Linked DNA regions of Macaca fascicularis. The protein of the gene in region 5 interacts with the protein of the main gene of each other region in a biochemical or structural test. Links are inferred from orthologs where the notes say so. Each region holds a gene or a part of one and is shown on either strand. Other genes may lie near its edges. The genes, in order: WAC, UBE2A, H2BC21, UBE2B and RNF20.

Region 1 (5,636 bases), on a different chromosome or scaffold from region 5:
GACTGTCAGAGTCTAATGTAAACTGTACTCTCCAAATCTGAGAGCAGAACCTGTTAACTTTGTGTACCACAAACACTAATAAGAATATAACTAAAAAATGGTCACATTTTAACAGCTATAGATATAATGCACATGTGAAGACTGTCTCATATACATCTAGGTAAGGGGAAAATATATATTGCCTTTGTTCAACGTCAGAACTGCTGAATCAGAGGGTGAAATAATGTGAAGCAAAATACAAACATTTTGTTGGATAGCACTGAGCAAGCATAGTGGCAAAACAAAACCAAAAAAATAACACTCTGAGATTGTTTATCTTCTTTTAAAACTGAATGGTTTGGGCCAGGGTTGGGGATATGGTGGCGAGAACCAAAAAATTTAATCACCCAAGTTGATCTCCTACCTGCTTCACCAGACTTGGCTCTGAATGAATTTCAGTTATTTCCAAAAACTAAATCTCCCAAAGGATGAAGAGTTTTCATCACTGAGGATATTTAAAATAATACTGCAGCCTCTAAAAACAATTTAAAAGAAGAATTTCCCAAAAATGTTCTGAGCAATGGCAACATTGCTGGAGTAAGTAGACAGCTTCCCAAGGTGATTAGTTTGAAGGGAACAACTCTCATTTGGAGGTATAAGTTCTGAAATGCTTGTTTAGAAAACAACAATAAAAACAACAGTTCAATTATTTTGCTACCTCATAGCATGAAATAAAAAATAGGAAAATCAATCAAATGAAAACCATTCATTCAACAAATGTCATTTAAAGTTGTGTTGTTAATGAACACAGAAAAGTGCTAACACAATACAGCAGTATAGAACTATCTAAAAGTCATCTGTATAGGGTCACAGTTAAGCTACTGGGAAAGCCTGACATACACGGGAAACATCGGCCCAAGTTTTAGATAGGAGACTTTGGCTTTCATCAATATACTCAAACCAAAACTGCTATGAGGAGGTTACAAAGCAATGTAATTCCAACAAATATTGTAAAATCATGTGCCTTTCTGGTACAAGTATCACAAATCTTTACCCCATCATATTCCACTGTGTAAAATTTTAAAGAGCCACTTTCTTCAAAATAACCCGGGCTTTACTACTAGAGACAATAACCTACCTCTTGTATACAGGTTTGTCTTTGTAAATTTTACAACATATAAGCCTACTTTAGAGTATTCATGGAGTTTAAAGTTGTTATATTTTACAGATACATCTTCAAACAATGCAATATACCAGTATACTATCATTAAACAAAACAATGTGGTCTCAATATACAATATCGACGTACCTTGAGCGCTGAAGACTTCGAGGAGAGACAGGTTCATGACCTTGCTGCTTGTCAGCAGTTACAGGCTGCTGTGTGGCTGACTGTGACACTGGTCCTTGCTTAACTACTGGAGTACTAACCTGAAATGTCAAAATCTGGTGAGATGGTCTCCAAATCTAATCCACATCTCTCCCCCCAAAATCTAGGTAATCGTCTTAGAACATGTAAAATATGGTGTTTTAAAGAAGACTGTCAAGTTCTAAAACTTCGGTATCTCATTTCTTTGTAAAAATGGCCCAAGGTCATAAAATTACTTCCCTATCAAACCAGTGTAAGAAACTAGCTCTCCTCCTTTACAACTCAGTTTTCTTTCCAATACATTATTATCTCTTCTGATTTGTTACTTTTATATCAATAAAAGTAAATATGTATGCTACCACATCATACACATATGGATGCTTAGATTTTAATGACATGGAGAAACAATGTGATTCGGCTATCAGAAAATGAGTTATGGCCCATATAAAGTTCATCATGAGTGTTTTTCAAAGAGATGTTACTCTACAGAGGTAGACTGAAGTCCATGATTGCCAATCAGGATACATATTATATTCAGAAGCCACAGAGAGAAAATAAGCAGTTTAAAATATAAGCTCTAAATTGAGGCACAAAGGCAGATGGAGTCCTTTGTGATAAGCCACACCTCACTGCTGTTTTTCTTTTGGTGGGGTGAGGGGATATGATTAATAATTCTCCCTAACAAATCTGGAACGTCCTGCTTAACTTCTGAATATTACCTATCAATTCTAGTCAAGTCTTATAAAGAACATTTTAGTAAGCACTAAAAGCTCAAATGTTCAATTATTTTAAAAACAACTTGAAGAAGTTTTCGGAACACAAAAAACTGATAGCTATCTGTTTAAAGGACTTTTTTTTTTTTTCTTCGAGACAGGGTCTTAGTCTGGTTGCCTAGTCTGGAGTGCAGAGTGACGTGATCTTGGCTCACTCCAACCTTGAATTCCCAGGCTCAGGTGATTCCCCCACCCCAGCCTCCTGAGTAGTACAAATTGCCATGCCCAAATAAGTTTTTTTTGTTGTTGTTTTTTAAAGACAGAGTTTTGCTCTCTCGCCCAGGCTGGAGTGCAGTGGCGTGATCTTGGCTCAACTGCACCTCCACTTTCCAGGTCAAGTGATTCTCATGCCTCAGCCTCCTGAGTAGCTGGGATTATAGGTCTGTGCCACTAATTTTGGTAATTTTAGTAGAGACTGGGTTTTGCCTGTTGGCCAGGCTTTTTTCAAACTCCTGGCCTCAAGTGATCTGCCTGCCTCGGCCTCCCCCAGTAAATTTTCAAATTATTTTTGTAGAGATGGGGTCTTGCTGTATTGCCCAGGGCCTAACTGAATCCTCCTGCCCTGGCCTCCTAAGTGCTGTAATTATGGGTGTGCGCCACTGCGCCCAGCCTGCTTAAAGGAGTTGAAATGCTCAGTTTACAAGTGACTATAAAACCAATACTGCCACTTATTTCACTTTTAACCACTATTTACTATACTCTTAAAATATCACCCTGAAGAAAAGTTCTAAGCTCCAAAAATAACCTATCTTTTGCTGAAACTCACATTTTAATTCTTTCCTCCTTAAAATACTGGTGAATGATAAGGAACTGCATGACAAACTAACAACTGTAACTTGGAATTTTAAAAATCAATCTAAATTGGCCCTAAAACATGCATTGATCAATGGCCAAGGTAGGGAAGGGATGAACAAACGGGAAGACTTAAAAGCTGACCAACCACCTCTTTCAAGTTGTATTTCAATGCATTTTTATTTTTGGGCTGCTGCTTAAGATCTTACAAATAATTGTTTGGCATTAAAAAGTTTGAAACAGCCCACTGTTTCAAAACTACTCAAAAGAAATTCCCCCTATATTTACCATTTAGCCCAGAAATTTTCTAACTGCACCTATGGAGCCAACCATGTGAGATTCTGCTGGGACAAATACAGGCAATATAAGCTTAGTAAAATGGGTCCCTGTATTCACAAACACCTAGGTTTCAAATTCTGACTCTACCACAAAAACTAGACTTAACTGAGAGTCTGATTTTCTTATCTATTAAATGAAGCAAGTGATGCTCATGATGTGAAAGTTGAACATACATTAAGTTCTTAGCACAAAAACTGCCTCATTTTTGAAATACAAATATGGCAAAGTTGCTGGAAAACATGTTCACTCATGTCTTTTGGAGTCTGAAAATTCTACAAATATTAAGACTCACAGTATACCCTCTTTATCTCACTCTCCATGTGACAAATCCCAAAACCATTAGGGAACAGACTCAGAAGGTGTATTAAAGCAGCACAGATTCAAAGCCCCCCTCTATCCCTCAGTGAACTGAGAAATTCTAGGCTGCATCTACTATCATACCTGTCATCCATTCCACCACTACACCTCATTCTCATAGAGCTTTTTCTGTAACAGATTCTAAAATGTTATTGATTTTCCAAAAGTAGTTTCTTTCCCAAATATCCCTCAAAGGTGACATACCTTTGGCTGTGATGAAACAGGAGGAGTACTGATCAAGGGTTTGATAGGGACTGTGTTAGTTTGAGGTGTGCTTATTCTTGGAGAAACATATGATCTTGGGGATGACGCATCAGACGTTAAAGACATTGGAGACTGATTAGATGGCTGGGCTGTAAAAGAGGGAAGCAATTAATTTTAAAGAAAAACAAAACAAAACAAAAAAACTAAGTCCTTTGTAATATATGTGGTAACAATCTTTGTATCACTCTAAACCCCCCACCCCCATATTACCCAGAGAACACTTATCGGAATAAATCAGAATCTGACCTTCTCACTGGGCCACACTGACTAAGTGAGCTGTGTGTTCAGAGGTAAGCACACCCAGTGTGGCCCACTCTCCTTTATGTGGCTGGAACAGGAAGCTAGGCCTGAACCTATTCTCACATGGAAGGCCTCCTCACCATCCTTATTTCTTCTTTCTTATTCTACATTTAGGCCCAGGTATCCCACGCAGTCTCCTGCTCATGAGGCTAGCCAGAGGGTTGCAAGAGTCTTTGCACCATTATACTTCCATTCCAGACAAGGCATTCCTGCTGTTTATCAGCTTTCTGACAAAGTGACCCTTTCACTTCCCATTTGCTCCTACGTGTATCTCTCTCCATTTGGATACCTTCATGAAGAGGGATATCTAATTCAAGGCAGAAAATGAGCATTTCCATATTATCCAGTCAAAAAACATCTAACGTCAATCTGAACCAAACTTCAACTCTTCAAATACATGCAATGTTCACAAAGATATATGGCATATCATAGTTTACTTTCAGCTTTGGCATAAAAAAACTCATTAACAAAGTCTGAATTAAATGCTGTATTAAATAATTACAGATTTGATGGCAATACCTTAAGACAAATGTCAAAACTTGCTTCATCTAAAAAGAAAGGAAATAAAAATACTACTGTATATGCCAGTGTTACCAAAAAAAATTGTAGCTAATCTCTTAAAAAACAAACAAAAAAAAACAGAAGAAAAAAACTACATACAAAAAGGGCTATTAATTCCAAAACAAAATCAAGATACCACTGTAGAGATATCTAAGATGAGTAAGAATACCTTGTGTAGAGAGCTGAGCAGCTTGAGAAATCAGAGACGTTATGTTGAAAGCAGATGGTCCAGCAGTAAGAAACTTATGAATTATAGACTGCAGAGAGGCTTGTGTCACAGCTGCTGTAAGAACTAAAAACACATTATTTCATACATTCGTATAAAAACAAGAGGCTTATGTGGCATTAGTAACAACTTGACAAGGAAGAGAACCCACAAGAAACTGGAATATTTCAATCTAGAACTCTCAAAATAAAAGCCTACTAGGAGTAATACAATGGGTCCCAAGATTTGAAACAATCTGAGGCACAGACAAAGAAACTTAATGGGTTTACAATAAAGGTAAACCAACAGAATTTCTTTTACACTAATAAATTAAGATGATCACCTGAACAAAGTCTCTCTACAAAATTTAATGAGTGTTCATAGGAACTTCCAATTACGTCAGAAACCTATTTGTGAGTGTTCAGTATGTTATATGAAATTAACTGGATAAACGATTGCTATTTCATATGACTGCCTTTTTAGACAAGCTGGCCATTCAAATCCTACATCAAGATCCACCCTAATAATCTAAAAATGGATAAAAAAAAGGGAGTATTGGCTGGACATGGTTAGCTCACAACCAGCACTTTGGGAGGCCGAGGCGGGTGGATCACCTAAGGTGAGGAGTTCGAGAGCAGCCTGCCCAACATAGTGAAACGCTGTCTCTATCAAAAATGCAAAAAATTAGCTGGGCATCGTG
Region 2 (6,287 bases), on a different chromosome or scaffold from region 5:
GGGTTTCACTGTGTTAGCCAGGATGGTCTCGATCTCCTGACCTCGTGATCCGGCCGCCTCGGCCTCCCAAAGTGCTGGGATTACAGGCTTGAGCCACCGCGCCCGGCATTAAAAGGATATTTTCAATGCATCTCTCTCATGCTCAAACACCTATAAAAAGCTGCCTAAATTCCCCAACCTCGCATTTGAGGGCATTTAATCAACTTCTGTCACTCTCACTTTTCCTAGTTGAGTTCTCATCATTCCCCAGCCAAGAATCTCTCCATTAGCCGAGCTCATCTGCCCACTATTCCCAGAATATGGTTTAGCTCTATGCCCTTGTCTGTGCCATTGCCCTCACAGAAACTGCTTAAGTTCTTCTCTCTCAAGCTCTGCTTTCATCTCTTTTGAAACAAAATTGAAATACACCCATTTCAGGAAGCTTGTCCTGATCCCACCAGAATGACGATTCCTCTGCTGTGCAGTCTCTCAGCATCTGTAGTTTCATATACTTCTACAAGTTGAGGATCCCAAATCTGAAAATCCAAAATCCCAAATGCTTCAAAACCTGAAACTTTTATAATGCAAAGAATTCCAAAATCTGAAAAAACAAAACAAACAAACAAACAAAAAACTGGAAATCTGAAACCGTTCTGGTTCTGCTGTTGCTGTTATAGGCAGACTTCTAAGATGCTGCCCTCCCCTAAGATTCTTGGTCCTTGGTATATACGCACACTTTCTCCCAGTTATTAAATGAAATAGTAATCTAGGTTCTGCAGTGGCAAAATTTAGCAGATGCAATAAAGGTCCCAAATTAGATGTTTTTAAGATAGGGAGATCATCCACAGGATGGGTATGACATAATCTGGTAAGCCTTTAAAGTAGACTGTGCTCTTCCTGAAAACAAGATTCAAAGAGTGAGAGGGATGTGGTAGGAGAGAAATTCTCTGTTGATGACTTTGAAGATGGAGTAAGCCACGTGGCAAGGAATGCAGGTGGCCTCTAGGAGCTGAGAGTAGTTCCCAGGTGGCAGCTGGTAAGGAAATAGGGACCAAAGTCCTACAACTGCAATGAACCGGGCTTGGCCAGCAACTTATAATTTGTTAAGCAGTGATGAAAACGAATATGCTTGCTTTTGTAGATCTTGCTTTTGTTGATTTCATATGTGTGTATGTGTGTGTTAGTAGACTGCAAGTTCCTAGATGAGAGGAAAAAAAGTTTTTTAAAAAATTTTTGTACCCCCTTCCTACTACAGCCATAATGTGATGCTATTAGGGAGACTTGCCTTAACTGATATATTGGAGTTAATGGGAGATAGAAATCCTTGACCATGAAAGTACCTGTTATTAAACAGCAGCTAGAATTACTACCATTGTCAAGTGCCTCCTGCTTCTCATGTTAGAAACAAATTCCTGCACATCTGATATCTTCTGGACATCTTCACGGGGATGTCTCACCAGTCCCATGAACTCAGTAAGTCCCACCCAAAATTTCCTCTCCCAAACTTGTCCCTCTCTCTCTATTCTGTAATTCTGTTAATGGCACCTTCAAATCCCCAGTTATCTTGGGGCTTAGAGTTTCAGCCTCTGTTGACTCCTTCCTCTCTCTTGCCTCCATATTCAACCTGTTGCCAAGTCCTCCCCATTCATTCATATCCTACTTGCCTTTACTGTCACTGCCTGGTTCAGTATCTCACACCTAGATACTGCAAGAGTCTCCTGCCTGCTCTCTTGAGACCAATCTCTGATAAGCACAGCTCTAATGATGTCACTTCCCTGCTTAATGGACTTCCAAGGAATCCATTAGCTTGGCATTCAAAACTCTTGATGACTTAACCCAAACCTACCTTTCTCCTATTTTCAATAATTTTTAAATGTGTATTATGCCTATCTTCTAAGTTATTTTGGGTTGACCTTTAAAAATTATCCTTTAAAACTGTTACTGCTTTTGCAGGTCCACGGACTGTGACTCTTCCCGCAACCTGCAGCTTTTCCACGTTCCTTTTACTTCAGACCCACTGTCCTTGCAACTCCCTGCAGTCGGATAGTCTCATACTGTGGACTCTTCTGAACATATAATAGCCGCTCGGCTTGTTGAACTACCAAGGGAAAATGTGGTTCCAGAGCCAAATTGTGAGTGCCCAAAGCAAAACAAAACAAAACAAAACCCTACTCTGCCTGCCTTAAGCTCCCATTCCCTCCCACAGGACATACAACACCATTTCATTCTGCCCAGGGGTGATCATTGGCCTAAACGTTGAGCGCCCAATCCTGCATTCAATCCCACAGCCCCGCCCCGCCCGCCGGTCATAGTCAAGGCCAATTTATTCTTTTGATTTTTCGTGATTTTAACCAATCACTCTGCTCCGCACCCCTCCGACCCCAATCTCCGGTGTCCGCAGGGATTGGGCACCCTAGAGTTGCCGCTTTTTGAGAACCGGTTTTACCTCCGCCCACTCCTTCGTCCTCTAGTTTGGGACTTCCAAACTTCTCCCCCCTCCTCCCCGGGCATAGTGCGCGCTCTCATGAATGATCTGGTCACAAAACAAAAAAGAAGAGAAAAAGAAAAAAAGGAAGAAAAAAAGAGAAAAAGAAAAAAAGCCGAAAACTTCCCAGGGTTTGCCTTAGAATTAGCAGGTGGGGATGGACCCCGTTCCACCACGAGGTCCTCCAGCGCCCCGGGCTCCAGCGTACCCCACGCCTCTGAGCTCGCGGCCCCGCCCCCGGCCTCCTGCGGGGCTTTAATGACATAAGCAACTTTCCTCGCGCACCCCCCGCCCCGTCTTGGTACGGCCTGTCCGGCGCTCGACGTTCCACCCCCCTCTCTCTGCTCTCAGGTTGGTTCAGCCCCCGTCTACACTGGGGTGGTGCTTAGCCGGCGCCAGACCGACCCTCGACTTCGGAGAGGCAGCGCGGTGCCTCTGGGTGCTTCCGCCTCCCCTTCTCCGGCTTCTCCAGCGTCCTCGGCCTCGTCGCCCGCCGCGGGAACCCGAGACCCCAGTGTATGCCCCACCCCTGACCCCGCTCGCGACATGTCCACTCCGGCTCGGCGGCGCCTCATGCGGGACTTCAAGAGGTAAACCGAGGGGACGGCCGAGGCCGGGGGTTGCGAGCCGGGGCACAGGGCGGGTCCCGAGGCGCGCCGGGCGGGGAGGGCTGGGGAGCGGCCGGGAGCGGGCGCCAGTGCCGGCCTAGGGGGACCCCTGTCTGTCTTCCCGAAGGTTGCAGGAGGATCCTCCAGCCGGAGTCAGCGGGGCTCCGTCCGAGAACAACATAATGGTGTGGAACGCGGTCATTTTCGGGTGAGTCTGCGTTCGTGGCGGTGGCGAGAGAACCGGGTACGCGAGCCCTCTCGGTCTGCGCTCCAAGGCGGGCCCCCCGTGGAGGCCGAGGGGGTAGGGGAAAATGTTTGGGTCTGGCTGGGCCTAGGCGCCTCCCCGGAGCCTGTGCCTCGATTAGCTCAGTTCCCGCTGCCAGGGGGAACCGCTTGGGGTTCTAGGGGGGCGGGGCGGGGAGTGGTGGCGGTTAGGCGCGGCGGCCTGCCCTGTGTCTCTGAGCCCGGGACATCTATTTGTAGTGGCTTTCGACTCCGGCAGCGGTGCGGGAGGTGGCAGAGCTCGGGATAGCCATCTCAGATGAAGCAGGGAGAAGGGGGCCCCTTAAGTGGGAACTGACCATTTTTCTCTGTGTTGCAGGCCTGAAGGGACCCCGTTTGAGGATGGTAAGAGAGAGTTTCTTTACCCACTTTTCAGGAGCCTGATCATCTGGGGAATGGGTTCCCACTCATCCTGGAAGTGTCTCCTGCTTAGGAACCTGGCTGTGCCTAGTCTCTGTCTGCTAAAGGCTTGAGTGGAATGCAGTGTGTAGCTGGTCGTTCTGGATATTGTATGCTTGACTAGAACTGCACCTTTCTTCTTGTTTTCTTAAAAAAAAATCTGGGGAAGGCAGTCACTTTTTAAAAGGAGCAATCATAGCACTGATATTAAGGATTTTTGAGGCTTGGGCTGTGATTCTGCTAAATTCAGCCCTCCATCACTGAATTAGTATAAACCCAACCAGTTGCTGATAGTCAGCAGAAACACCAGAGACCATCTGGTTCAGAATTCTACCCCAAGGGCAGGAATTGTGGTCAGCAGGTGCTTGGTAGATGTGTGTTGGATGTTGAGTGGATGCAAGCGTCCCTTCCATTCAACTGTCTGGTTTCTACAATCTGACATTGAATGCCTGTCAGCCTCACTTCTCTAAGATGGTCTTAAATGCCTCATTTGAGTACAGTATTGTTTCTTATTTTTAAGTGAATTTACAGTGTGTGCTTTCATCAAGACGTTATGATCAGTAATTTCAAAGCAGCTTCACAATTGAAGTTAGCCTCACTGTACCCTTTTGATCAGTGTCCCGCCTACTTGAAAGTACTACATGTACCAGTAGGTACATAATTTTTAAGTGATTTAGGTTTAACTTTTAAAAACACATGTGTAAATTGCTTTTTTAAAACTTTATGATTTTAGATAATTATAGATTCATATGCAGTTGCAAGAAATTAAGAGAGACACCCTTTATACCCTTAACCCAGTCCTCTCCCCAAACCCTCCCGTTTGGTAACATCTTGAATGACTAGACCCTATCACAACCAGAAAAATGACATTGATAGTTCTGCACTCAGTTGTGTGTGTGGTGTGTGTGTGTTGTTGTTTTTTGAAAGTTTAATACATTTAAAGGATGATTAAAGTATTTGAACTTATGAAATTCTTTAATATTTGAGGTTTTTAAAAAAAGGAAAAGGATGTTTCTGTTATTTTTTTTCCTCAATGATTTATCTTCATTCGGTCACATAGCATTTATACACACACACACACTTCAGTTTGAAGGTGGGAACAAAAACATTTCTGCAAACTACTTAATACATACTTATGTTGCTGAGCCGGATTGCTTTTTGATGCTACCAGTCCGCAAAATGTTGTGAGGTAAGTCAATATCAACTAAGTCTATAATTCATCTCAAGTAGTTAGATTTCTCCAGGAAACTGTGGACAGTCACCTGAATATTTTTAGCTTCCTCTCTACCTTTACCCCCTGGGTAAATATCATTGTTCTTCAGGGCTGCAATGAAAAGAAATGACAGCAGGAGACAGTGATTGTAAGGGCATACTACTTTGGTGCAGTTAATCATTTGAGCTGATTTGTAGCAAGAAACTATAGCTAGACTTAAATTTTCCTCTACCAGATTGGCACTAGTTATTTATTTATTTATTTATTTATTTATTTATTTTTGAGACGGAGTCGTGCCCTGTCACCCAGGCTGGAGTGCGATGGCGCGATCTCAGCTCACTGCAACCTCCACCTCCTGGGTTCAAGTGATTCTCCTGCCTCAGCCTCCTGAGTAGCTGGGATTACAGGTGCACGACACCACGCCCGGCTAATTTTTTGTATCTTTAGTAGAGATGGGGTTTCACCATGTTGGCCAGGCTGGTCTCAAACTCCTGACCTTAGGATCCACCCGCCTTGGCCTCCCAAAGTGCTGGGACTACAGGCTTGAGCCACCGTACTCAGCCAGCACTAGTTCTTTATACCTGAGATTTAAATGTACAGATTAACTGTGTATTTGCTTTAGCTCTAGTAGGCTTTGTTTTCATTGGCTTCTTTTTTCCTCGTTTTACTCTGTTTTATGCTGGGCACAGCTTTATTAATAGTACATCGCTTTGCTGGGGATTGGCTACCTAAATATTTCAAGGGTGCTTCTCTTAAGTGGTATGAATTGAAAAGGTACTTATGGAGTCCATTATCTACCAGGACTGTCACCTTTGACATTACTGGTACTATTTTTGATGATGTGTATCTCCATCCTAGCATTACTGAAAGGAATTACTCAGGCTGATTTGTTCTGTTGAACAGTCTGCTACCCATGGATGCTTCCTCAGGTATCTGGAACACTGTGGTTTTGAGATGGAGTTTTGCTCTTGTCACCCAGGCTGGAGTGCAATGGCATGAGCTCAGCTCACTGCAACCTCTGCCTTCCAGGTTCAAGCAATTCTCCTGCCTCAGCCTCCCGAGTAGCTGGGATTACAGGCACCCGCCACCACGCCCAGCTAATTTTTGTATTTTTAGTAGAGGGAGGTTTCACTATGTTGACCAGGCTGGTCTCGAACTCCTGACCTGAGGTGATCCGCCCACCTTGGCCTCGCAAAGTGCTAGGATTACGAGCATGAGCTGCTGTGCCCGGCCTTAACCATTTTTTGAATGCCCTTTATTTACAGTTGGGGACTTTACAGTTAGAGAAAAGACTGATTAGGGATAAGTGGCATAGTTGATT
Region 3 (5,835 bases), on a different chromosome or scaffold from region 5:
CAGCCTGGCCAACATTCGAGATTTGAGATCAGGAGTTCGAGATTAGCCTGGTCAACATTAGTAGAGATGAAACCCCATCTCTACTAAAAATACAAAAATTAGCCGGGCATGGTGGTGGGCGTCTGTCATCCCAGCTACTTGGGAGGCTGAGGTGGGAGGATCGCTTGAACCCGGGTGGGTGGGGGCGGGGTAGAGGAGGTGGTGGTGGAGGTGGCAGTGAGCTGAGAAGTGCTCCAGCCTGGGCGACAGAGCGAAACTCCGCCTCAAAAAACCAAAAAAACCACAAGTCTATTTTTTCTCTCTATTATTCTACCTGACCTTAAGGGATACTAAGGAAAGGGTGAGAATGGTGTAGGAGATGTAGAACTCCCAGAGATGGGACGTTGAGGAGGAAGAAACACAAGAGCTTTCAGATTCATCTGTTATATGGGATAAAAGAAAAAAAGAAGAGCTTTCAGGAAAGATTTCTAAGGCCGCTGGAGTCACACCAGCAATTAATGCCTGACAGCAAAGTTACCCTTTCCCGGCTGTTGCTGAAATCTAAGGGATGATGATGAGGTGGACAAGGGAGCGTGGAGAAAAAGATTGAAGGGATATTAAGGAAGCAACTGACTGGACATGCTGAGACGAAGGGAAGAGTAGAGTAGATTTCGGCTTAGTTATCTGTAAGTATGCTGGCGCATTTCAGGAAGAGGGCAAAGAGGGGAGGTTGTTTGCAGGAGTTCGCGTTCGAATAGGCTGAGGTTGAGTTTGAGTTTGAGGTGCTCGTTGGGACAAGTAGTAGATTGAAGTATTCAGTAAGCAGTTAGGCACAAGGGTCTGAGCTTCTGAAACAAATTTGGATGTTAGTTGAAAGCATATAAATGGGTAAGACTCTTCGGGATAAGTGAAGAATTGGAGATAGAGAAGCAGAATCCAGCTGGACTCGCAGATTTAGAGATGGCATGGGGAAGCAGGATAAGAAAAGTCGGCGAGCTAAGAAGAAAAACGCAGGGCGACATTTTGAAAGCCAAGGGAGTAAGCTTCAAGGCCGCCTCCTGGAGGTCAAGAAGATGACAGATCTAGCCTTGGTCAAACTGAATTCCAAGGAGTGCAGGCGGGTGGGGGTGGGGCGGAGTCGCTGCGGGCGACTTAAGTTGAGGGGCGAGAAAGGAGGCAGCCTTAGTAGTACTTGTATTTTTAAAGGGAATTTGGCTGTGACGAGACAGAAAGGGCGGAACTTAGTAGTTTAGAGCTCAAGGGGATAATTGGCTTCAGAATCCCCTACTCTTGCGTGAGAGTAACTCTCAGTCTACGGATGTCTTCTGCAGTTTCTTAGGGTCCATGTTGGGATTTACCGGCTGTAAACTAAACAAAGCAAAGCAAAACCCCATAGTACAAGACATTTTGTTTGAAAGCCTACTTTCTTTAAAGATCCTGCCATGCAAATAAGGGGCTTTAATGTGGCTCTCAGCGATTGGTAGATACTTACGAAATCCGTCATTTCCTTTCAGGGCAGGATGCAAACCAAGAGGCGGCTTTCTGTTTTTCTATTGGCTGTTGGATACGGCTCCGCTTTTAGCCAATCAAACGACTTCCCTTCACCCCTCCCGGTAGCTCTTATAAATTACATCAAATTGGTTATTCTTTCCACATTCTTCTCCTTGTAAAAGAAGCTGTAACTGCAATTTTAGCCGTAATGTCAGGACGCGGAAAGCAGGGAGGCAAGGCCCGCGCTAAGGCCAAGTCGCGCTCGTCCCGCGCTGGCCTCCAGTTCCCGGTGGGGCGAGTGCACCGCTTGCTGCGCAAGGGCAACTACGCGGAACGGGTGGGGGCAGGCGCCCCGGTGTACCTGGCGGCGGTCCTCGAGTACCTGACCGCGGAAATTCTGGAGCTAGCAGGCAACGCGGCTCGGGACAACAAGAAGACGCGCATCATCCCTCGCCATCTGCAACTAGCCGTGAGGAATGACGAAGAGCTCAACAAGTTACTCGGGGGTGTCACCATTGCCCAGGGCGGCGTCTTACCCAATATCCAGGCTGTCCTGTTGCCCAAGAAAACGGAGAGTCACAAGCCTGGCAAGAACAAGTAATTAAGAGGCTTGACACCATACTCATTCACCCCAAAGGCTCTTTTAAGAGCCACCAAAGTGTCAAATGAAGGGCTGATCACGAAATAGCGCATTAGCTCTTTTTTTGAAAACTTGGGTGGCTCTAAAAAGAGCCTTTGGTCTTTGGTTTGTTTGTCTGCATTTATTTGCTTTTGGCTTTGTGGCTTTCAGTTTTCTTTGGTAACAGAACGGCCTGGATGTTAGGCAAAACGCCGCCCTGGGCGATGGTGACTTTGCCCAGCAGCTTGTTCAGTTCCTCGTCGTTGCGGATGGCCAGCTGGAGGTGACGAGGGATGATGCGCGTCTTCTTGTTGTCCCGAGCCGCGTTGCCCGCCAGCTCCAGGATCTCGGCGGTCAGGTACTCGAGGACCGCCGCCATGTAGACTGGCGCGCCAGCCCCCACCCGCTCCGCGTAGTTGCCTTTGCGCAGCAAGCGGTGCACTCGCCCTACCGGGAACTGGAGGCCAGCGCGGGACGAGCGCGACTTGGCCTTGGCGCGAGCCTTGCCTCCTTGTTTGCCACGACCAGACATGACTGAAACCAAGGTTAAACACAGACAATGCTCAGAACCTCGCTACAAAATAAGCTTGAAAGAGAACCAAGAGGAAAGCCTTTATAAGCTTTCCTAGGGGTGGGGTCTAGAACGAGTTTTTCATTGGTCCTAATATGGCTTCAGAACCGGCCAATCAAGTCAAGAGTCGGTGTTGTTGCGTACGCATTGCTGAAAACGCAAGGTCCGCACACGGACCAATGGAAATGAATGACTTTCGGAGCCCTAATTTGCATAAGGTGGTTATAAAAGAATCAGGCCCGCCCATTCTCTTACTTCTTTTCTTGGCTAAGCCGCGTTTGTACTGTGTCTTACCATGCCTGAACCGGCAAAATCCGCTCCGGCTCCTAAAAAGGGCTCCAAGAAAGCCGTCACCAAAGCCCAGAAGAAAGACGGCAAGAAGCGCAAGCGCAGCCGCAAGGAGAGCTACTCCATCTACGTGTACAAGGTGCTGAAGCAGGTCCACCCCGACACCGGCATCTCGTCCAAGGCCATGGGCATCATGAACTCCTTCGTCAACGACATTTTCGAGCGCATCGCGGGAGAGGCGTCCCGCCTGGCGCACTACAACAAGCGCTCCACCATCACGTCCCGCGAGATCCAGACGGCCGTGCGCCTGCTGCTGCCCGGCGAGCTGGCCAAGCACGCCGTGTCCGAGGGCACCAAGGCAGTCACCAAGTACACCAGCTCCAAGTGAGTCCCTGCCGGGACCTGGCGCTCGCTCGCTCGAGTCGCCGGCTGCTTGACTCCAAAGGCTCTTTTCAGAGCCACCCACCTAATCACTAGAAAAGAGCTTGTTCACTTACTCCCTTAGTTTCTTCTCATAAAGTAATTTTAGCGTAAAGGTCATGGGAAATGCCACACGTAGGTTTTTAACCATTTGGAACTTGAGGTCCCCGGTGCATGATTGGATTTGCTTTTGAATCTAGAGCGTGTCTTCACTCATTGTGCTGCTTAGCATTCCCAGGAGTCGGTTCTCAATTAGGATGTTGGGAATCCGCCTCTTTACCCGCCCCCACTCCCGCCCCACACTGGCGCCCTGGTGGCTTCTTGGGTCTGTTTCATTCTAAAACGAAGTGGCTGAGTTCGGCTGTTATTTAAGAGAACTCCAGGGCACGATTCAGCCCAGGTTCCGCAAACACTGCGTGACAGCTGTGTATGACTGACGCTTGGCAGCACCTTTTGTGTCCGGTCACCAGTTCTGCTGTGCGATGGGGTCTCCTGTGGATACCAGCCGTTCTGTGTATTTTGGACGAAGCCCGCGCAGCCGGGTCCCAGCCTTTTCCTGATTGGGCGACATGAATATTCAAAATTCTGCGCCTCTTTCTAATTTGTAGATTTCAGTTTCCGTCGTTCACTTTGAGACTTTGAAATTCCTATTTCTCGTTTTGTTGATAATTTTTGCATTTAATGGTCTCTGCTTTAAAGGGTAAGGCTGCGGCCCCAGGTCACTGCGAGGCACTTACCGTGTAGATACGGGCTCAAAAGTCACCTGTCAGAGATCTACGTCATCCACTAAGGAATTCGCGCCGCTCATACTTGCCTGTCTCATTTTATCTTCCTTCTAGCAGCTGTCTGAAATTGGTTCGTCTGTTTTCTTGTTTATGGTATTCTCAAGCCCTTGACCGGCTGGTGTGGTTTTCCCGTGCATCTTCAGCCTGGCACATTATGGACACTTACCTAAATACTACGTATTGATGTAATATTGTTGGGTTAGTTTTTCCATCCCATCGTTTTCTTAATCGCTTTCGTGGATGGATGATGGGTGCTGTTCATTTCCGTTAGATGTATGTGAAGGCACGGTGAAAATGGAAATGTTTTTGGAGCTACTTCCTCAAATGTGTCCTTAGTCACCTCAGTGCAACAGCTGGGAGGGGGCCGTGTTAAGATTTTTTTTGCATCAAAGAGGAGGTGGCAATGGTAGATCCACCCTTACGCTTCCCAGTTTAGCATAACCTCTTTTGGATTTTCATCAAATTCAGCGTATTGGTCACTGGAAAGAGCCTTTTCCTTCTTTTCTTACTCTCCCCTCTTGGTGTTCCCCTCTTAAAGGAGAGGAGCTTTTAATTGACAGTCATCACCTCATTTTTTTTTTTTTTTTTTTTTTTTTTTTTTTTTTTTTTTTTTTTTGAGACGGAGTCTCACGCTGTTGCCCAGGCTGGAGTGCAGTGGCGCGATCTCGGCTCACTGCAAGCTCCGCCTCCCGGGTTCCCGCCATTCTCCTGCCTCAGCCTCCTGAGTAGCTGGGACTACAGGCGCCCGCCACCGCGCCCGGCTAATTTTTTGTATTTTTAGTAGAGACGGGGTTTTTTTTCACTGTGGTCTCGATCTCCTGACCTTGTGATCCGCCCGCCTCGGCCTCCCAAAGTGCTGGGATTACAGGCTTGAGCCACCGCGCCCGGCCATCATCACCTCATTTGCTTTCCAGGAGGCCATGCAAGATAGGCAGGACTACAGGGTTAATCTCCTTTTTACAAATGAGGCCAAGGGAAGCCTCATTGGTTCACAGTCATGCAGCTCATACTGTCCACCCTTGTATTCTCAGATGCAGGACAATTGCATTTTAGTTTTATTTTGTGGAGGTACAGAATATTTACTCTTTCTGTCCAACCCTTGATTCTGCCGAGGAAGACACTGATGGTTTGATGAGTGATTCAACTCTGTTTTTGGCTAAGGGTTTTGGAGTTGATAGCAGGGGTCTGATGAATCCAAATGAGCTCTAGACATTATCACAGACTGAATAAATCTTTTTTTTTTTTTTTTTTTTTTTTTTTTGAGACGGAGTCTCACGCTGTTGCCCAGGCTGGAGTGCAGTGGCGCGATCTCGGCTCACTGCAAGCTCCGCCTCCTGGGTTCACGCCATTCTCCTGCCTCAGCCTCCTGAGTAGCTGGGACTACAGGCGCCCGCCACCGCGCCCGGCTAATTTTTTGTATTTTTAGTAGAGACGGGGTTTTTTTTCACTGTGGTCTCGATCTCCTGACCTTGTGATCCGCCCGCCTCGGCCTCCCAAAGTGCTGGGATTACAGGCTTGAGCCACCGCGCCCGGCCAGACTGAATAAATCTTAACTGTCTCCTACATGTGTGTTTTCAAATGTGTGTAGATGCTATTGTTATTAATAAAGTTACCAATTAAAGGCTTTGCTGGATTCTTTTATCTACAGTATATATTTCTCAATGAAGGAAATTAACAGATAC
Region 4 (6,376 bases), on a different chromosome or scaffold from region 5:
GCTTTCCAATGGAGCCACAACTTTTGTTCAAATAGGCTAAGCATAGTTGATGTCACCAAAGAGCCAGATTTGTTTGCTCAGATCCTTGCCCCCACATCCCAATTTCATCTTTCCTAAGCAGCAGCATAAAGCTTAATTATTACTTGCAAGGCATATTCAGGATCTCAAAGCAGCAGGATAATATCCTGAAGGTGCCATGTATTCAACTCAGATTCAGAAGTACTTTATGAGGATGAACTTCACTCATTTTCCACTAGTCTTTAAATGTAGACTCTTGTAGCTGATTCTGTAGTGTCAGAATTCTGTTTATCAACATATTCCTTTTACTTTTTAATGCAAAACTCTAGTATCAAAGGAATGAAAGAAAAAAATAGATCAAGTCTAGAAAAAACAAAAAAAAGCATAAGGAAATTTTAAATTAAAAAGCATATATGCAATATATATAGTAGGTAAAATTTACAGCTGCTTCTCAAATGGCTGCATTCTGTTATTTTACACTGGGCTGTGAATCATTTTCACTTAAATTCTTGCAGCAGTGGAAGTTCTTAATATTTTTGGTTCCAAACCTTTTAACAGCTCCAACAGAATGAGAGCATTTGCATGATATGTTTTATACAAAGTAATTTATTGTTTCTCCTTTATTATTCCATTCCATTTAGTTTTGAGTAGTATCTTAAAAGTAAAACCCCAAGTGATTATAAAACCATATGTAATAACATCAAAGAGCAAATAAACTTTGTATAACTGCTGAAACTTTTTCCCTTTTTTTTTTTTTTTTTGGATAGCTGGCTGCAGCCTCAAACTTCTGGGCTCAAGTGATCCTCCTGCCTCGGCCTTCCAAGTAGCTGGGCACCACCATGCCCAGTTAGTTTTATACTTTTTGTAGAGACAAGGTCTCTCACTATGTTGCCCAGACTGGGCCAAAACTCTTTTTTTGGTGGAGAGGGGACAGAGTCTCACTGTCTCACTATATCGCCCAGGCTGGTGATGAACTCCTGGGCTCCAGCGATCCTCCCAGGCGTTGAGCTACTGTGCTGGGCCAAAACTCTAATTGAAAAAAATTTTTTTCTAATTTATCTTGCAGTTTTAGTCCTTAAGATCTCTCATTCTACCTCAGTTTCTTTTCCTAGACAGTTGTTATATGTTCACTTTTCTTAAAGATTCAGCACACACCTATTATTTGTTAAACCTTTCAACTCACCCAAATATAACTGCATTCCACTGCATGATGTTGTTTTCAGATGGTGCACCACTGACACCCACAGGTGGGTCCTCTTGTAACCTAGAAATCCAGCGTTGTAATTTAAAAAGTTGAACATTAAGGCCACTAAGGAGGCCACATAAACACCTACAGACACTACACCATCTATTTTGAGACACAGACTAACTCCATTTCCTTGTTATTGTGAACTAAAATGAACCATATGACTTAGATATATTAACCAGGTATATATACTTATTAAATACCTCTCCAAATTACCTAAAAATCCGAAGGGCTTGAGAATCATCCCTCTTTCAATATTATCAAGAGTATCTCTTCAAGAATTGATGTATATAGACTGTCCTCTTATACCAAAAAAAGTTTAAAACCTCAAAAGCAAGTAATATTTTTACAGAACCATTGATTTTGCTGCTCTAAACATGCAAAGACTGTGTATCCTAACCACGGCTACTTCTGCAAAATGGCTACAAGAAAAAAAAAAAAAGCAAACCTCAGTGTAAACACGAAATGACTGAAAACACATTAAATTTAACTAGGAAACTAGTATTAGGCAGCAGATTTACTCTATCCCTTTTGCTTCAAACAGCAATGGCTTTAAAAAGTAATCAGTAGGTTTTCCGCCAGTCCCTATTTTAAAGGCTCTGCACTAACATCAAATCTACCTCTCAAATCAGGAGACTCAATACAAGGCTTTCCCACATTCGTCATAGTCAAATTCTTGTAACCTATAGATCTCTGGAAAACTACAAAAGGTGCCATGTATTCAACTCAGAATTAAGCAGAGCATTACAGTAAGGAGCCAGGGCGACAATGACATGAACTAGTTTACTATCTGAATTTTAGTCATGAGTGCTAATCAGATACACTGATTTCAAGCTTTAGAAAAATGACTTTTGCACCAAAAAGGGCATCTCCTTTCAGAGACTGTAACCTCAATTAAAAATGCTACATTATACACACTCACAAATACATATGGAGTTGTTTTCATGGGGCATCATAATTTGCAACTAGTCCACATAAAAAAAAAGGTTTTTAGTCAATCTCAAGCAAATTAGGCCACCACAAACAGAAGCCTTAGAGGAACTGCACTGCTTGACGCCTACCTTTAAATGGCTAAGAGAAGCTACGAATGAATTAAATAAGTTGGCCAAATCCAAATGCCTCACATAGGCTTTATAATAGCTGAGAGGTGACTTCCTGAGCGACAAATCTATGTTTTTATGCTATTTTGTTCAATTAGGGTAGGTGTCCCCAGAAAAAATTTTAAGAAAAATGTGCAGAATATCAAAATGTTTTCTCACTTATTTTGTTTTTTCTACGTTATTTTGTTTTTTCTACGTCTCTAAGTATCCAATAAAAGGTAAACTAACGGAATAATCATTTTCTTCCTCACAACCCCAATACCTCCTAACAAAACCCTATTTTATTTACCAAAGAAGGCCCAGGGAGTATCAAATTAGCGCCAGTCTAAGGGAAGGCATTTTTCCAGACTCGGGAGGCTATAGATAGGGCTTTCTTCACCAGCCAGATCTGAGTTCCAGAAGGCACTGGCAGCCGGGGTGGCCAGCTCTAAGGTCCCAGATCTCTAAGTCAGTTCCCAAGGTCTTTTCAGGCGGGCGGGGACAGAGTCGGGTTTCGGGGGATGGGTTAACCTCCGAGCCTCACGCACTGGACCCCACCCTCACGGCAGAAATGGAAAGGACTGGCGAGGGTGGGGGGCTGGGGAGGTTCACCCCAACCCGGCTCCTCGGAGAAGACTGAGGGGCCGTGAAACAAAGCTGACTGGTGCTGCCGGAGAAGAACAAGCTCCCGCGGGAGCTCACTTTGAGGGGACAAGAAAGGGTCTCCGCAGGGTGCAGGGGCGGGAGGATGATGTCTGATCCCCGTCTGATCCCCTGGACGAGACCCCGGGCAGCTGGCCGAAATGGGCAGCGGGGAACCCTAGACCAGTCGATCGACATCGTTTTACTTTTTGGGGGGAGGGGAAGCAGTATCGAAATTTCTTCGGGCGCCAGAGCGAGCGGCAAGGATAAGGAGAGTAGGGGCCGAGGTAGGACCCGGCTTCCGCCAGTCCCCCTGGGCCCACAGCCGGCCCTCTGAGGGTCACAAGGGGAAGGTGTCCGGGATCCACGCCCTGCAGCCCCGCAGCTTTGAGAGGCCGTCATCTATGCGAAGCTGAAGGCCCTTACCGCTTGAAATCCCGCATAAGCCTCCTTCGGGCCGGGGTCGACATGCTCCGCAGCTGCCCCGCGGTCAGTCTGAAAGAAAAGAGTCCCGCGCAGCCCCCCCACCCCCCGGCGCGGCGGCCGAATCACTGTGGATCGCCGCTGCCGCCGCCGCCGCCGCCGCCGCCGCCAAGACTGACAAACAACCCTGCAATGACGTCTCCCTCCGCCGCCTCCGGATCCCTCCGCCCTCCGCCGCTACCACAGAGTGAGTGCTGGGGGAGGAGGGGGCGGGACGGGGGAGCGCGCGTTCCCTGAGCCCTTCAGCGGGGCGTGGTTCTTCCTGGGCTTCCTGAAGTGATCGACAAATTTGTGTTCTCTGTGTTCAGACTAGAGGTTGTGGATTCAGAGACCACGAAACCGACACACTATCCTGTCTGCCTCCCCGTCTCTAGTTTAGGCTCGGCGGGGTGGAGAAAGAAGGACGTATCCGGGCCAGGGATTTCAGGGAAAGGAGGTGGGATGATGTAAGATCACGTGACTGCCCGCGGCCTTGTCAACAATCCACCCCTGAGGGGGAGGGGGAGAAGTATCTAGAACCACGTGTCCCTGTGACGCGTTTAGAACGGGTCACGTGAGAGCCTCGCCTGGATGTGAGTTTCGGCCAGGTCTGTGAAGCGGGTCTAAGAGGGTGAGGGCTGGATACACCTTTATTAGTTGTTTTCGGTTTATCACAGGTATAGAGACATTACCCAAGAGGTCGTGGGAGGATCAACAGCTTGTTTTGTTTTCTTTAAACCGGGACCAAAAATAACTCCCCTCTGGTTGGTTCAGTGGCTTATGAACTCTGGTACTTGGGGCAAGAAGAGAGAGGATCGCAAGATCTTCTAAGGCAGCATTGAATACTGAGGGCCACACAACAATCTCCTGAAATGGTTCCTTGAAGCTACCAAATAGTCTTTCTGCTTTGCAGTGGGGTTTCTAGTATTGGAAATTCTGGGCAAACATTAAAGGATGGTGTATTATGCAGTTTTTCCTTTCTGGGTCTGCTTTCAATTGAAGATATGTGTCAGAGTCCGGGGACTTGCCTATGGGGGGGAGTACCATTGTATTTTTAAGAATGTGGGGGTGCAGTCTTCCAAGCATATCAATGAGTGGTTGGTTGTCAAAGAAACCTACAAATATGATTCATATGTGGGGGAGAGCTCCAGCAGACCTGAGTGAGGGTTATCTATCCAGCCTGAGACAACTTCAGGTTTTTTACACTAGCAAGAAAGGTGCAAATGGGCGAGAAGTGCCCCCCCACCACCAGGGGGTTCAGAGGTGTTGACCTCCCACAGACCTTGAATATTTTTTGTAGTTACTGTCTTTCCCTGTATTGCTGCTAATTCCTACTTTCAGGACTTTGTTATACTAAGGACTCTGAGTACTTTTGTATCCATTTGGGGAATTGTTCGGTTCAACAGGTAAAGGGAGGGTGGAATGAGGACCTTAGCATTGCCTCAACCTTGCCCCTAGTTCTATGGAAGCAGAGTTAACTTTTCCGACTTTCCTTGTACCTCTTTCTTCAAACCCTGAATTCTCTCAGCTTCCAGTGACTGCCTTAGTGATCAAGTTAGCCAGGCCTAACTCTTGATAGGTCCTGTTAGACATTCACAATGTGTTTTCTAAGTTAAAAGCTGAATATTCTTAATGTTTTTGCTTTTCTGCCATTGCAGTCCTAACCCTTCCAATAGCAAAGGAGGAAGACACACAGGCAGGGTTACATGGAGAAAAATGGTAAATAGAAACTATATCTTAAAAATATCCCTCATGAGCTGGGGCATTAGCTCATGCCTGTAATCCTAACACTTTGGGAGGCCAGGAGTTGAAGACCAGCCTGGGCAACATAGGAGATCCTGTCTCTGTGCACACGAGTAGCCCCAGCAACTCAGGAGGCTGAGGCAGAAGAATCGTTTGAGCTGCAGTAAGCCATCATCATGCCACTGAGACCCTGTCTCAAACCCTGCAACAACCAAAAAACCCTTATAATTTATCAGTCTAGGCAGTCACTGAAAGCAGAGACAGAATTCAGGGTTTGAAAAAAGGGAGGTACAAGGAAAGTGGGAAAAGTTAACCCTTTCTGGTTCCATGGAACTATGGGCAAGATTAGGGCAATGCTGAGGTCCTTCTCCTACCTCCCTTTCCTTGTTGAGCTGAAGAATGGATACAAAAGTGCTGAGTCCTCCTGACGCACCAACAAAGTCCTAAAGATGGGAACTGGAGGCAATGGAGTTTAGGAATTCCGTGACTACAGGGATTTATAATTGTTTCGGAAACAGTTTAAATTTTCCAAAATGAATTAACACTTTTAACTAATTCAGTGCATGTGCATCATAAAGTCTTACAGCTGTGTATTAGCAAGAATCACTGGCTGTTCTGGTTAACCAGGCCTGCCATAACCTACTTGTAGAAGGAATAATTTTAAAGCTATTAATTGTATGCTGTTATCAATTCTGTAGCTCTGGATTATGAGTTCATTGAGGGCAGGGACTGAGTTTGGTTCATCTTTGTCCTGGGCAATGTTTTTTTATTTTTTGAGACAGAGTCTTGCTCTGTCACCCAGGCTGGAGTGCAGTGGTGTGAAGAGGGCTCACTGCAGCCTTGACCTTCCAGGCTCAAGCAATTCTCCTTCAGTTGCCCAAGTATCTGGGACCACAGGTGTGCACCACCACACCCGGCTAATTTTTTGTAGAGACGGGGTTTTGCCCTGTTGCTCAGGCTGGTCTGGAACTCCTGGGCTCAAGTGATTTGCCCACCTTGGCTTCCCTCGGATTACAGGTGTGAGCCACTGTGCGCAGCCTCCTTGCAAATATTTTGCCCACAGCAAATAATATGCTTACACGAAGTTTGAACCCACTATAAGATTTACTATGACATTCTTATTTATAGAAGGTGTTTTATATTGTGGTTGAATAACATTCTTTTTTTTTTTTTTTTGAGACGGAGT
Region 5 (6,178 bases):
TTCCTTCACTCTTTCCTGCCTCTTGGTCTAAAAGTCTTAGAATAAGTTGCAGAGCTGCCATGTGTGGTATTCCTGTCTGTGCTCCATTGACAAACCCAAGAACATGCAGCAACACCTATAGCCTGAAAGAAAAAACCCAGCCTTCCCCTGAGAGAAACACACAGGGATCCCTCACACCCGTCCTCCCCCAACTCCCAACACACACTGAAAACAAAACCACTAGCAACAACAAAGTAAAAAACAGCTGTGTGTGATGATGGAAAGACCTCCTCTTAGCACGTGCCATTCCCTCTGCTTGGAATGCATGTAAAAAACATTGTATAGGGGCTAAAATTGTGCACTATAACCAATTCTCAGTCCCTAGACCCCATTCTTTGTTCCTCTTCTTCCTGATTTTCTTCCCTAGACCATTTCTTTGTGTCCAGTGTTCCTTTTGTTCATAGGCAGTTCCACTGTGAGTCTTATACTCTTTCTCATTCATTCATTGCTCACTATGTGTCATGTTCTATTCTAGGTGTTGGGGATATAGCAATGAACGAAACAGAAGATCCGTGACACTGAGGAGCTCATGTTCTATGGGGAAGGTGAAGGGGAAAAAAACTCAAAAGAATAAATAAGGGAATTTCAAGAGGTTTCAAGGAAATCTAACTAGGTAATGTGATAGCAGGACCTAGGGATAGGGAAGGGCATGGACTGCTTTAGATAGCATGGGAAATCTGTTGGGGGATATTAAAATTGAACTAAGACCTGAATTACATGGAAAAATTCAGCCAAAGGAAAAGCATTCCAGAGAGAGAGAGCACGGCAGTGCAAAGGCCTTGCAGAAAGAACCAGTGTTAAAAGTCCAAGGATGAAAGAAAGCCAGTGTAGCTAGAGCTTGAAGAAGGAGGATGGGAGTGGGAAGACATGAAGGTAAGTTTGCAGGGGCCAGATCATATCAGGCCTGGAAGGTGATATAGCTGTTTAAAGTTTATTCTAAATGCAATGAGAAACCAGCTCCTAGCAAGATAATAAATTGCTTTGCCAGAACATTAACTGTCCATTATTTAGTTCCTTTGCATTCTGCATAGGCTGGTCTTACAAAGGTTCTGTGACAGTAGGGCATCCATTAAAGATCTATTACATAAGGGAACGTGGGACATGCAAGAGCCGATGACAAATGTAGAAACCCTCTGCTTCACTTGGCATCTCTGTCCTTTTCCTCATCTTTCTGATATTTTAAAGCTACTGTGTTCCTACATACATATGCTATCTGTTCCTTCATTCTCTGATAAATTCATCATTTGCCTTTACATTTTCATCATTTTCACCCCCAAATGGTTAACGTAAGTGCTTTTTTTGAAATCATTATATTCTTTCATATTTCTGTGTCGGTCGCTAGGAGAAAGACCAGGAAAATCTGTTAAATTCTAAACCAAAAATTCCCATTCACTGCAGAGTGATGATTCGCAACACTGCTGCGATTCAGGCAATGGGGTGTCCTGAAGTGACAGCACATCACCACTGCAGTCCTAATAAATTAAGTCTTTTTGTTTTGTTTTGTTTTGTTTTTTGGTCTGCTAGCTCTATTAAATTTCCAATCATCTTTGACATAGTCCCAAAGATTTTCCAAATAGTATCCAACCTAGAAAACAGTTTCAGTTAATAAGCATTTTTCAGCAAATTCTATTATAGTTGGGATAAAAATATCCAGTGACTTAAAATTACCCAACTTTACGTCATGTGGTGCTGTAACTCAACAGTGCATCGTACAGTATATAAAAATCCCACAGTAATCAACTCCAATTAAAGTGCCTCTCCACCTAAATTAAATTACCAGTTAAATAAGTTCTCCCAAATGAGGAGTGTATCTAAGGTAGATTAGATTAGTTCTATCAAACTTGTATTCTTCATTTGCACTGTGATATTCTCACCATTTTTCTTCAAATAACAGGAATGCACAATGCAAATGTTTCCATTAAACAAACAACAAAATCAGTTAACAATTTTTAAGCAAACAGCTGTAATCTAATTCCCCGTTGTGGTTTTTTGTTTGTTTGTTTTGGTTTTTTACCTGCAAACATTGGCTGCCATTTAATTTTGGAAAAGAAATACACAGAATTTTCAGTTTTCCTATTAGGCATGTTATTCACAGATTTTGGGATTCAATGTTTCTAGCTTTACCCCAAACAGGGCAAAATTTCTGGTTAACCAGTTTTCAAGTCAACCAGTCTGTGTAGATTTATTTCCAGGAATGTGTTTGTGCAATGCCTCTAGTCCTTCTCAACCCTAACCTTCTCCAGCCCTAGTGTATCCAGAATCCATTTCCAACTGGAGTTCAGCAAAAGTTTGGCTTCCATGTAGCTCCCCCTCCAAATAAGTTTATAAAAGAGGAGGCAGGCTTTCATCTCCTTTCTGGATTGTACACATAGAATACATCTAAATTTTAAAAGCTATGTATGTAAAAAATGGTGTGTGTCTGTATCACATTCAAAATCTAGTTCATGTACTATTCTGCAAGGAAATACATCAAACAAATTAATCATGAGTAAACCTAAATTTAGCAGTTTATCCTTATCTTAATGAATACCTAAATCCTGTTTGCGATATTCACTCAAATGACTCAAGCTTTCTCCTTTTTAATCTCGTTGAACTTTTAGCTGAAATGCCGCAATCTGCAGAAACACATTTCCGTGTTTGAATCAGGAAAGGCTTGGAAGAGATTAGAATAACATTATATTTCATTTTACCAGTTAACACCACAGGAAGAACTATTTCAGCCAAACTAACCCCTTCTTGTCACACTTAAACGTTAACCTTAACCCCAACGTAGACACATACTAAAATTCAAAATTGCATCCCAGGAGGCCTTTAGGACAAATTAATTTTTGTTCTGTGAAAGGCACCTCGTGTCATGTTTCATATCAATTTACAGTTATTGAGTGCCTACTGAGTGACAGGTGCTGTGATCAGTGCTGGAGACTCAAAGGTGAGTGAATAAGACATGCCTTCTTCCTTTCAGAACCTTGGCCCCAGTGAGGGAGTTAGCAACGTGGGGTAAGTCCTGAGATGGCAGGATCACACGGTGCTGTCTATAAATTGCCCCAAAGCACTGAGACTCTAAGTCATCCCATCTCCCTTAACTTCTCTGCAACCTCTTTTCTGAGGATGACATGATCCAACAAAAAAGTCTCCTACCGACAAAGAGAATGTTTGACACAAACACTTATTTTCAGAAACGGTTGTCTCCCAAAGCACTTGGCTTGTCCAAAGATGACTTACCTTGTTGGCAGTCCCTTGCCACACCTGTCTCAAAAAACAATCAAGCTGAACCCAAAGAGTTTCATTGTCCACCCCTCCTTTCTGACAGAAGCTTGCTGATCTGCAAATGGAGAGAGAACTGGGAAGGTCACAACTTGTCCTTGCTCCCTCAAGGTAAGTGTCATCCCGTAAAGCTTGCCTGCTGCCTCATTGCCTTTCCCAAGTCTTGTGCCAAGTCAGTGCTTCTCATATCATAACTTCACTGTAGCTGGTTGTGAGTTGGATCCGGTCTCCTGGAGTTCCCCTCACAGAATGACTACAGCTCACCCATCACATGATGTAAGAGTGCCCTTCTTTGAACCCTGCAGAGTTTTTAACCAATGACCACATATTTCTTCCACCTGTTCTTGTCAGTGTTTCCATAGGGACCCAGAGACCTGAAAAGACACATTCTTACTTTTAAAAATTAATTGGTTTAGACAACCCACACTTGTATTGGCCAGAGTCCTCAGACTGGCTCTGAGGATAGCTGACTAAGCTGCTGCTCCAAAATGCTGGAATATGTCATCATTCACAACCATTGTTCATAACCATTTGACTACCCTAAACACCCTAAACCTTACCTTCAAGGATTCGCTCATCTGAATGAACTAAGCAGAATAAACCGAACAGTAAAAGTAGGGCTTGAAATCCAATTCTTAACTAATTAGAAAGCATGTATGAGCTAAGAGTTTCTTATCCCTTGCCAGGAGGGAGATGGAGAAATTTGATTTATATGTGAAAATTCTGCTTTTCAGCTTTCACTTGCCAAAGACAGGACAACTCAAATGAAAAGAAAAAATGGTGTTATCCATTTATTTTCCCAAAAGAGATGTTTGGAATGCTTTTTTACATTCTCTTCATACATGGGCAGAGTTTGTGCTGTAAATTTTGCAAGTTGACTTCAGTGCAAGAGATGGTCGCAGCATTAGGATGCGTTCACTGGCAAGTAACAGAATCTAGTCTCCCAGGGGCTTAAGCAATAATGACATTTAATTTTCTCACCTGGCAAGAGGTCTGGAGAAGGCAGTTGCAGCAGTGCAGTGATGTCATCTAGGACTCAGATTCTGGCTACTTTTCTGTTCTGCCATCTTTTGCCACATCAGCTTCTGCAGCTTCAAATATCATGTCCTCACAGAGCTGCATTCAATGAGAGTAGGAAGGGGCTGCGATAAAAAGCTTCCTCTTGTAAAGTCCTTTGGTGGTTGTTTTGTTTATTTTCCTCCTTCCAGGAAGAGCAATTTCAAGAAGTCTCCCAGCAGACCTCTCCTTTTGCTTCATAGGGCCAGAAATAGGCCACATGCCCACTCCTAGACCAATCACAGGCAAAGGAAAACAGGACAAGCCCAGTTGCAATTCATTCCCTTGGGGTTTGGATAGGGGCCCATCTTCTATGATCTCAGTGGCTCCCTACCCACCACCTAAACAAGATGGGACTTTTTTCTGGCCAGGAAGAAGAGGCACATGGATAGCTCTTTGGTAAAATGTGAACGGTAACTGCCCTGTTGCTGGGGGAAGTGATCAAGACTTTTAATATCCTTTCTGCTCATGCCATTTTATTTAGAAATTGAAGTAACATGGAAATTTATTTTAATATGGTCATACGGTTAAGTTAGGCACATCATTGAAAACATATTCTAGCTGCTACAAGATTAATTGAAGATATCAAAGCACTTTGAGAGGCATAGCTTCTTAGATTCCTGGTGGCCCATAAGATTGCATTTTCTTTCTCATATGATAGGACATCTGAACAATTGAACATGAAACATCATGGAAACAATAAGATCATTGTTGCTACTTTCAAGGAAGTACAGATAATCAAATTCAAATTGGACATGGGATTGACCAGATGGCAATGTAAGCTTGTGCTTATTTTCAACTATTGTGGAATTGTTTTGAATTGTTGATTTGGGGCCCATGAAGAGCCTTTTATTTTTTTGAAAATAAATTCACAATTTCAGAAAGTAGTCATATGGATTTTGAGGTGTAGTATAAATCATGCTGTAAATTTCTGAAGCTCTTTTTGTCATGCAAATATTAATACATCTGTGTCAGAAAGTATTTTCCTGTCTGTATTCAGTTTCAAGAAAAAAAAACTACGATAATGAAATTAAATTATGTTCTCCAAAAAAACACAGTATCCCAGAAAAGATATAGAGGAGTCTGACATGAATCCCAGGAGATCCTGAAATTCCTAGAGATTTGAGCAATGTATGACACTTTACTCTTCAAGAAAGGAGTAAGGATGAAGATAGGAACTAAAGTCATTCCTACCAACCAGAAACAGAATTGTGACCTCTCCCTAACAGATCCCACAGCTCAGTTAGCACCTAAAGACATCATGTGTCACCAGTCTTTGGATGTAAGCAGTCATGTTAAGATTAAATAATGCAATTTCCTTTGTTGATAACGCTCTTTCTCAAGCCCCAAAAGTCCTACTAAATATTTCTGGGAGTCTGCAAAAAGGTACCTTACATGTATGTACTCACAAAAAAGTCTTCTAGCTACAATCATCACAGAGCATCTACTTTATCTTTCCTTTCCAGTTCTGGCTCCACACTGCCTTGCAAAGTAACTGGAAAGGCCTTTTACCTTCGCTTATAGTGGCTATTTTGAAACCACCAGTGCCTGTGCCAGGAGTACTTTTTTTTAATGCTTCCCCAAATATCAGTTCTCCAGGCTAGGGTAGACTGGTGCAGCAAGACCCAGTGTCTTCTCAGTGGCTTGCCAGGACAAAAGTTTGTTTCTCGCTGACACAAAATCTAACTGAGATCTGGGCAACTCTTTAGGGCAGCTGTTTTCCATAAAGCCTCCCTGGTCAACTAAGCAGGTTTAAATTGATAACTTAATCGTGGTTACTCACTAGCTCTTTGCTTCAGGCTGCAAATGCTGGAACTAA

Evidence for each region.
Region 1: the proteins of RNF20 (region 5) and WAC form a complex in vitro, tested with the Homo sapiens proteins (2 studies listed by BioGRID). The link is inferred for Macaca fascicularis from reciprocal best matches to the Homo sapiens genes RNF20 and WAC.
Region 2: the proteins of RNF20 (region 5) and UBE2A form a complex in vitro, tested with the Homo sapiens proteins (4 studies listed by BioGRID, with this or other methods). The link is inferred for Macaca fascicularis from reciprocal best matches to the Homo sapiens genes RNF20 and UBE2A.
Region 3: of the proteins of RNF20 (region 5) and H2BC21, one has a biochemical effect on the other in vitro, tested with the Homo sapiens proteins (3 studies listed by BioGRID). The link is inferred for Macaca fascicularis from reciprocal best matches to the Homo sapiens genes RNF20 and H2BC21.
Region 4: the proteins of RNF20 (region 5) and UBE2B form a complex in vitro, tested with the Homo sapiens proteins (4 studies listed by BioGRID, with this or other methods). The link is inferred for Macaca fascicularis from reciprocal best matches to the Homo sapiens genes RNF20 and UBE2B.

What each region holds. Positions count from the first base shown.
Region 1 is NC_088383.1:29,308,680-29,314,315, reverse strand, and holds part of WAC (WW domain-containing adapter protein with coiled-coil), read right to left. Parts: intron 5,024-5,636; coding exon 4,901-5,023; intron 4,478-4,900; exon of another isoform or gene 4,117-4,477; intron 3,960-4,116; coding exon 3,811-3,959; intron 1,408-3,810; coding exon 1,289-1,407; intron 650-1,288; coding exon of another isoform or gene 526-649; exon of another isoform or gene 409-525; intron 1-408.
Region 2 is NC_088395.1:125,911,358-125,917,644, forward strand, and holds the start of UBE2A (ubiquitin-conjugating enzyme E2 A), read left to right. Parts: upstream 1-2,861; 5' UTR 2,862-3,010; coding exon 3,011-3,054; intron 3,055-3,199; coding exon 3,200-3,280; intron 3,281-3,673; coding exon 3,674-3,699; intron 3,700-6,287. UniProt on the Homo sapiens protein: E2 ubiquitin-conjugating enzyme that accepts ubiquitin from the ubiquitin-activating enzyme E1 and transfers it to a E3 ubiquitin-protein ligase. In vitro catalyzes 'Lys-11', as well as 'Lys-48'-linked polyubiquitination.
Region 3 is NC_088375.1:111,387,536-111,393,370, forward strand, and holds H2BC21 (histone H2B type 2-E), read left to right. Parts: upstream 1-2,913; 5' UTR 2,914-2,955; coding exon 2,956-3,336; 3' UTR 3,337-4,616; downstream 4,617-5,835. Other genes in the region: H2AC21 (histone H2A type 2-B), read left to right, coding at 1,679-2,071; H2AC20 (histone H2A type 2-C), read right to left, coding at 2,232-2,621. UniProt on the Homo sapiens protein: Core component of nucleosome. Nucleosomes wrap and compact DNA into chromatin, limiting DNA accessibility to the cellular machineries which require DNA as a template.
Region 4 is NC_088380.1:140,909,205-140,915,580, reverse strand, and holds the start of UBE2B (ubiquitin-conjugating enzyme E2 B), read right to left. Parts: upstream 3,585-6,376; 5' UTR 3,456-3,584; coding exon 3,412-3,455; intron 1,283-3,411; coding exon 1,202-1,282; intron 1-1,201. UniProt on the Homo sapiens protein: E2 ubiquitin-conjugating enzyme that accepts ubiquitin from the ubiquitin-activating enzyme E1 and transfers it to a E3 ubiquitin-protein ligase. In vitro catalyzes 'Lys-11'-, as well as 'Lys-48'- and 'Lys-63'-linked polyubiquitination.
Region 5 is NC_088389.1:56,634,878-56,641,055, forward strand, and holds the start of RNF20 (E3 ubiquitin-protein ligase BRE1A), read right to left. Parts: upstream 3,555-6,178; 5' UTR 3,262-3,554; intron 1-3,261. UniProt on the Homo sapiens protein: Component of the RNF20/40 E3 ubiquitin-protein ligase complex that mediates monoubiquitination of 'Lys-120' of histone H2B (H2BK120ub1).